2 linked regions of the Tribolium castaneum genome follow. Each later gene encodes a partner of the first gene's protein in a complex. Links are inferred from orthologs where the notes say so. Each region holds a gene or a part of one and is shown in the gene's direction. Other genes may lie near its edges.

The links. The genes of interacting proteins can lie anywhere in the genome.
Region 2: ribosome biogenesis protein BOP1 homolog (region 1) and pescadillo homolog share a complex: the UniProt entries of both Homo sapiens proteins name them as parts of the peBoW complex. The link is inferred for Tribolium castaneum from reciprocal best matches to the Homo sapiens genes BOP1 and PES1.

Annotation. Positions count from the first base shown.
Region 1 is NC_087401.1:14,822,193-14,826,335, forward strand, and holds ribosome biogenesis protein BOP1 homolog, read left to right. Parts: upstream 1-1,343; 5' UTR 1,344-1,441; coding exon 1,442-1,537; intron 1,538-1,702; coding exon 1,703-3,832; 3' UTR 3,833-3,849; downstream 3,850-4,143. UniProt on the Homo sapiens protein: Component of the PeBoW complex, which is required for maturation of 28S and 5.8S ribosomal RNAs and formation of the 60S ribosome.
Region 2 is NC_087395.1:18,780,140-18,784,248, reverse strand, and holds pescadillo homolog, read left to right. Parts: upstream 1-1,375; 5' UTR 1,376-1,678; coding exon 1,679-1,702; intron 1,703-1,753; coding exon 1,754-3,484; 3' UTR 3,485-3,609; downstream 3,610-4,109. Other genes in the region: pelo (protein pelota), read right to left, coding at 3,723-3,811. UniProt on the Homo sapiens protein: Component of the PeBoW complex, which is required for maturation of 28S and 5.8S ribosomal RNAs and formation of the 60S ribosome.

The DNA of each region.
Region 1 (4,143 bases):
AAGTTTCGCATGCAGTCAATGGAAAAATAAAAATGCATGTTTTTATTTAAACAGAAACTGGCAATGTGAAATTTTGGTGCGAAAATTAGTGGTATCGCAATGCGTATAGCCACATTGTTTGTTTGTTTCGTTTTGTTGAAAATTCGGTAGGTTCCAAAAGTAGGGTTATGTTGTCACCCGAAAATGACAAAATTTACACTTTTATGAATTTTGTCTCCATCTCTGCCCTTTCAGAGCGTTATGATAGGATATTTAGGGTCGAAATCTCTACCTTTATTATGTGCTATTGCCAGATAAGGACAAAAGTTCAGAAAGTAGGGTTAGGGTGTATTATGCTCTCTTCTGAAGTGTTAAATTTTAACTTTAATGTTTTTTGTGTGCTTTCCTGCTCTTCTAGAGCGCTATTAATTATTATTGAACATGTTTAAGGACAGACAAATCTACCTTGAGTCAACGACATAAATTTCAGTGAGATTTATTGAAAAATGCACTTCTCGTGTCAACCTTTTCATGAAAAAGGGTGTTTAAACGTTTATAAAGGGTATGTTAACGTGTGTTGTTAACTTTACCACGTAATAAAACATAAAGTATAACTTGGTAATTTTTTACTTTAACTACTTCTGGATTTTCAAGCTGAAACTTACACCAAACGATTCCTCTGAGTGCCCTGATGACCGTACACTATGAATTTTCTTATGCAAATTGAAAATAACATTAGAAAAATAATTTTTATTTTCACTCACTTTTTACTTGAATCGCCATTTTTGTTGATTTTAATTTGAGTTTATTTTTTATAATATCACGTTAATTTTTATTATTATAGTGGATCAAAGTGTCGTCTTTAGGTTAGACTATTGCCTACTATCGGTTAGGAACAACATGATCTCCAAAAATATAACGTAGTAATGAGCTCCAGAAGGTTTACGTAGATAGGTGCGTTTATCCCAAAAGTGAGTTTTTTGAGATCGAACCGCAAGTGAGTCACACTGCGAGGAGACTCCCATAGACAGAAGTTGCAAACATAAGGTGCCAGACCTATGTCTTTATCATCGATTCGGTGACGACTATTAGTTTCGTAAACTTAATGGATTTAATAAATATCTTTAACATTAAATGTGATCGTGTCATGTTGGGTAAAATTCTTCCATCTGTGCTGTCTGTGCATCCACCTTTTCAAATACAATTAAGAAATTTTCATAATAATTGTATTTGATAAGGTATTGGCATCATTTTGACGTGAGCAAAAATTAAAAAAATATAAAGTAATCGGAATTATTTTAAATTCGCGCCATTTTTAGTACGTGATGATGCGGCTAGATGGCTTCAGCTAGGAATTCATTGCCAACCATTATGTTCCGCTTCTATAAAAGTGTTATTCTAGGGACATGTGGTAACTTAACCCAACTTTCTTAGCATGTGTGGCCGATAAACAAACGTAAAAATGGGCAAAAAAGAACAGTTTTTAAAACGAAAATTAGAAAAATCGGCCGAGGAAAGTGACGAGCCTGATTCTGGTGCAGAGTCTGTCGAGAATGAGGTTAGTTTAAGCGATTCCTAAATTCTCGGGGGCGCGTAAACTGTTTGAATTTAAACACGTTTTTTACTATTTTTGGCCCTAAATTTGAATGAATTGTATTAAATAATTTAAAGTTCATTGTTTTTGAGCGAAATTTCCAAAAAAAGCAAATACGGAATTTTCTAGGAGCTTTTGAATGTTGTAAATGGGGAAGACGCCGACAGCTCCGACTCCGATGGCGAAATTGAAGAAAGCGACGAAGATTTGAACGACTCCGATGATGAAATTGAAGAAAGCGATGAAGACGATTCAAACACCACCGATGAAGAAAGCGACGAAAACGAGCTGGAGAATGAAGAAAACGCCGCCGAAGACACCGCCAACCCAGCAAGAGACGAATACTCCTCGCACGACACCTCCGACGAGGAGGACATCCGCACCACCGTGGGCAACATCCCCATGAACTGGTACGACGACTTCAAACACCTGGGCTACGACTGGGACGGCAACCAGATCATCAAGCCCGAGTCGGGCGACCTCCTCGACACCTTCCTCAAGCGCATGGAAGACCCCGACTTCTGGCGCACCGTCAAAGACCCGCAAACCGGCCAAAACGTCGTCCTCTCCGACGCCGACATCGACCTCATCAAGCGCCTCAAAGCCAACCAAATCCCGGACGCCACCTTCGACGAATACGCCCCGTGGATCGAATGGTTCACGTCCGAGGTGATGAAAACACCGCTCCGGAAATTCCCCGAACACAAGCGCTCCTTCCTGCCGAGCAAAAGCGACGCCAAGAAAGTCTCCAAGCTGGTGCACGCCCTGAAGATGGGCTGGATCAAGACGCGGGCCGAGGCCGAAAAACTGCGCGCGAAGAAAGAGCCCGAGTTTTACATGTTGTGGGCCACCGATGACCAGGCCGAAGACATGAGGCGCATTCACAAACACATACCGGCACCGAAGCGCCTCCTGCCTGGCCATGCCGAGTCATATAACCCACCACCGGAGTATTTATTCGATGAAAAAGAACTCAAACAGTGGAATAAACATAAAAACGCCCCCTGGAAACGGAAATTACATTTCGTGCCACAAAAGTTCGAGTCACTGAGACACGTTCCAGCGTACCCTCGATACATAAAAGAGAGGTTTTTGCGCTGTTTGGACTTGTATTTGTGCCCCCGTGGGATTAAAATGAAACTGAACATCGAGCCTGAAGCTTTGGTGCCCAAACTCCCGAGTCCGAAAGACCTACAACCGTTCCCCACCACTCTCTCGATTGAATACAAGGGACATGGCGACATGGTCCGTACCATAAGTACCGATAAAATCGGCCAGTACCTAGTGAGCGGTTCCGATGATGGTACCATCAAATTATGGGAGGTTAATACCGGGCGTTGCCTCAAAACGATTGACACGGGGGGCGTGGTCCGTTCAGTCGAGTGGTGCCCTAACCCCGCCCTTTCCTTGATCCTTGTCGCCGCCTCCAACCGTGTCCTGCTAATCAACCCGCACCTTGGCGACACTTTGATCACTTCCAAGACGGATTCGGTCCTCGAAACCGCCCCCCAAAGCGACGCAATCGTGAGCGAACGAATCAAAACCACCGTCGAATGGTCGGAATCAATCGACCCGAAAGAGTACACTCAAGGCGTCCGAATCGCCCTCAAACACTTCAAGGAAGTGGCCCAGGTCACGTGGCACGGCAAGGGCGACTACTTCGCCACTGTGATGCCCGACGGCCTCAACCGCTCGGTTCTAATCAGTCAGATCAGCCGTCGCAGGTCGCAAATCCCCTTCACCAAGTCCAAAGGCCTAGTCCAGTGTGTTTTATTCCACCCGACCAAACCCTGCCTCTTTGTGGCCACGCAGCGACACGTCCGCATCTACGACCTGGTGAAGCAAACCTTGATGAAGAAGCTGCTGACGAACTCCAAGTGGATTTCCACCATGGCCATACACCCAGGCGGTGATAATCTTCTAGTGGGGACGTACGATCGCAAAATGTTGTGGTTTGACCTGGATTTGTCCACCAAGCCGTACCAGACCTTGAGGCTTCACGGGACGGCGGTCCGCGGGGTGGCCTTCCATAAGCGGTACCCGCTTTTCGCCTCCGGGTCCGATGATAAGAGCTTGATTGTGTGTCACGGGATGGTGTACAACGACTTGCTGAAAAATCCACTGATTGTGCCCCTGAAACGGCTGCAGGATCACGAAACGAACAACGATTTTGGCATCTTTGGGGTGCTTTTCCACCCGTTGCAACCGTGGGTGTTCTCCTCGGGGGCCGACGGGACCATCAAGTTGTATTCTAATTAATAAATTTTTACGGAAAATGTTGTGTTGTTTGGAAATGCGGGACAGGTTGAGGAGGAAGATTGCCAAGAAAATGTTCGGAAGTTGGAAGAAGACAGGTCGAGACAAGTCCCTTGTATATAATACTTGTATATTACGACAGAATACTGTATACAATGTCTAAGTCACAAGACATAAGCGTTCTATTTAACTAGAAAAATATATTATAGATGGCACTTGTACACATAATATACTTTACAGGAGGTCTTCTACGGAGAAGAATCGAAAACTGCGAAAAAATCACTATGAATCCCAAAAGAAATTTCGGAAAATCC
Region 2 (4,109 bases), on another chromosome or scaffold:
TCGCATGCAGTTAATGGAAAAATAAAAATGCATGTTTATATTTAAACAGAAACTGGCAATGTGAAATTTTAGTGCGAAAATTAGTGGTAGAGCTCGGAAACTCTGTAAACGACCACGATAGGCGGAGCCATGGCCTCCTAGATGTATTGAGACAACTTCGTTGTTCAGGCCTGGCGCATCGCTAAGTTCGGCTGATTCTCCACTGGCGCTGCATTTAGCGGACTGACGTTTATTTGACAAATACCAATTTTGAGGTTAAAGACTAATAAATTTGAAAGATGTAAATGTGCATTCGTGAAATACGTAGGAAATGTGAGGATAATTCTAAAGTTGTGCCCTGAACGAACGTTTGGATAGTGTAACTCTTGCAGGAAATCATTTTACGATCATTAGGATTTTTTATTTTCAGCTTCAGAAGATATACAAATTATTTTAGGGTGAATTGGTGGTTCGTCATCGTTTATAAATATTAAAGAAAACGATGTTTCAAAGTACCTTTCATTTATTAGGCATACTATATGGTTTTACCAATGGTTTAGGTAGAATGCGTTACAAATCTGTGATTTTTAAGACATGGCTTAAGTTTTCTGAAAGGTATTTGCAACCTTTTAATCAGCAGATATTTGCAATACATTGTTTAGGCAAATGAAACTATTTTGCACACACGTATTTTCAAAACCTGCTATTGTTAATTTAATTTTAGTAAAATGTACAAAGAATGTCGTTTTTTTCAAATGAAATGGTTTAAAAAAGCTCGATCCAGCGTTCCTCTGCTGCGTTACTCTCTGCTGGAGTATCTCTGGACCGTCCGTTCCAAAGTCCCTGCCATAGATTATAGTTAATTATAGTCCCTGTCTAGACCTCTGCTCACTCTCACGCACCGCTCGTGAATCACCAAACTCCCGAAAAAAATCTACTACTTTATTAATTTTTTTGAGTTTTTGTATTTATTGTTGTATTTGTTTACAATTACATTGTAAGCTCTTTTTCACCTTCTCTTCTGCTAATTGTACTTGTTAAATTCAATTTTTTTGTCGGATTTAACCTCACAAATGCTATTTGTCAGATAAACGTCAGTGCGCTAAATAGGGCGCCATCTACGGTCTCGAAAAAACCGCTGAAGCTTATCGATGCGCCAGGCCTGAACAACGAAGTTGTCTCCATACATCAAGGAGGCCATGAGTGAGGAGATTGAGCAGTGGCGTAGCAAAAAACTATTCTATGATCAAGAAGGGTTTGAGATTCATAATTTGTAGTAGTTAAAATTTCCTCTATTCAATAATTGCAAGATGAAATAGTAAAAATCATATCTAATGCTAATACACGTTGATTTCCTAAAAATACACAGCAGAGAGGTCGAATAAATAAAAATACACAATGAGTAAAGAGTAAAAACGCGTTTATTGCAAAAAATGTTTCTACTGGTATCTTTACTATAACTGGTAATATTGAAATGTTAAACTTTAAGACGAATTCCCTACAGATGTAAGTACACGCCACGCCACTGTTTTCTGCCAACACCCCTAATTTAAAGATTGGACTCGTCCGAGACGAGTTTTCGTCTCTGCGCACTCCTACCACCGTGGACGATCTGTCATTTCGCGGACTCTAACCTCAAAACAACACGTGTTGGCATTTCTCCAGTTGTTAACGTTTTAGTGTATTATTTTGTTAAAACATGGTTTCCAAACGCAAAAAGAAGGTAACACCACCCCTACCTTACCATTTCAAATGTTTCATTATCACTTTGTAGTACACAACCGGCGAGGGTGCCCAATTCATGACCCGCAAAGCGGCCCTCAAAAAGCTCCAATTATCCCTCAACGACTTCCGCCGCATCTGCATCCTTAAGGGCATCTACCCCCGTGAGCCCCGAAACCGCAAACGTGCCCAGAAGGGCCAGTCCGGTATCAAAACCCTCTACCACGTCAAAGACATCCAATTTCTGTTACACGAGCCCATGATTTGGCGCCTTCGCGACTACAAAATCTTCAACAAGAAAGTCGGGCGTGCCCGAGCTGTTAAAGACTTCGAATCGTTGAAGAAATACCTGAATAACCACCCAACTTTGAAACTCGACCACATTGTCAAAGAGCGATACCCCACGTTTTTGGACGCGTTGCGCGACCTGGACGACTGTCTCACTTTGTGTTTCTTGTTCAGTACGTTTCCGTCAATCCCTCACGTCCCCCGCGACCAGAGTGCGCTGTGTCAGAGGCTCACAATTGAGTTTTTACACGCGGTGATCGAGGCCAAGGCCCTAAGGAAAGTTTTTATTTCAATCAAGGGGTATTACTACCAAGCGGAAATCAAAGGTGAGACCATTACGTGGATTGTGCCCCACCATTTCGCGTTCGAGCCCCAGAGCAAGGCCGAAGTCGATTTTAAGTTAATGTCGACTTTTGTCGAGTTTTACACGATTATGTTGGGTTTTGTCAATTTCCGGCTCTACCACCAATTAAATCTTTACTATCCTCCCAAATTCACAAATTTGAGCCAAACAGACAGTGAGAAAGAAATCGTAGACGAGGGGATTTTTGTGTCAGAACGTGTGGCAGCCCTTAATTTCCCTCTATCCAAAAGTACGAATTCAGCAATTGAGGACGAAGTCGAAATTGATAATTTCAACACTGAGAACAGTCCGGAGAAAATCGAAGAGGCGCGAATTGAGGCTGAAAAAATAAAAAAATTGAAGACACTTTTCAAGGGACTGAAGTTCTTTTTGAATCGAGAAGTTCCAAGAGAACCTCTCGTGTTTATTATCCGTTGTTTCGGGGGCGAAGTCTCGTGGGATAAGTTACTTTTTGTGGGGGCCACGTTTGATGAAAATGACGAGTCGATTACGCACCAAATTGTTGATCGACCCTCAATGGAGAAGCAATACATTTCACGATATTACGTTCAGCCCCAGTGGATTTTTGATAGTGTTAATGCGAGGGAACTCCTCCCTGTTAATAAATACTTTATGGGGGAGATTCTCCCCCCGCATTTATCGCCGTTTACTAACGAAGGGCGGCATCAGGAGTATATGCCTCCGGAGGAAAAGGCTCTGTATGATCCTGAAGCTTTGGAGGAGTTGCATAAGAAGGGAGAAAGTGATGAGGATGCAGACGAAGAAGAAGAAGAAACTGAAAATGCAGACACAACGAACGAACAAGTTGAAGAAGAGGAAGAAGAAGACGAGGATGAAGAAGTTGAAGCGGAGGAAACGGCGCCTGTGAAAAAGAAATTAAAGGTAACTCCAGGTGAAATATACAAGGAAGTTCCTTGGGAGAAGAGTCGGCAAGAGAGGCAGGAATATAAACTTAGGGAAAAGTTGGTTAAAAACAAACACCGAAAACTGTACAAGAGCATGATGGCCGGCCGCAAAGAAAGGGCGAAAGAGATTTGGTTGTTGAGGAAGAAGCGACGATTACACGATGAGAAACAAAAAGAAGAAAAGAAAGCGAAAAAGAAACAACAAAAAAGCGCGTCAGTTTCATAATTATTTTATTTTTTATAAAGTACATAAAATATTTCAGTGGATTAAGTTATGCAATAAATAGTAATCTTCCTGTTACTTAATTGTACATCTTATAAATAAATAGAATTGAAGGAATTCACTAAAAATCTACAGCAATTATTCACATAACAATTAAAAATATACAACAAATTCCCTAATTTATTTAAAAATGATCAACAAAGAGTTAAAAACGCGAATACAACCAGTGTTTTTGACATGATTAGTCTTCGGTCTCGCTTTCATCGTCTTCGTCGAGTTCGGGCATTGGGAAGCGGAGAATTGCTGCAATGCCGGTCAATTGTTCTAGTTCTAGAAAGCAAAAATGATAGTCAGTTGCATAATTTTTTTCAGTGAGCAGTATAGCCCCATCTAAGTATTTTTGAGTTACATAACAATTTTTTCTACAACCTTGTCAATTTTTAGCACGTAAAATTATAACAAAACAAAAAAACGTAACACAAGAAACATAAATAAAAATAAAGGGATTTTTGATGCAATTTTCTCGTGAACGAAATTGTTATTGGAAACTCAGACTCCAAAAGTATATACTTTGAAATTTAACTCAAAAAGAGCATAAAATGTAAAACAGCATTTTTAAGACCTAATT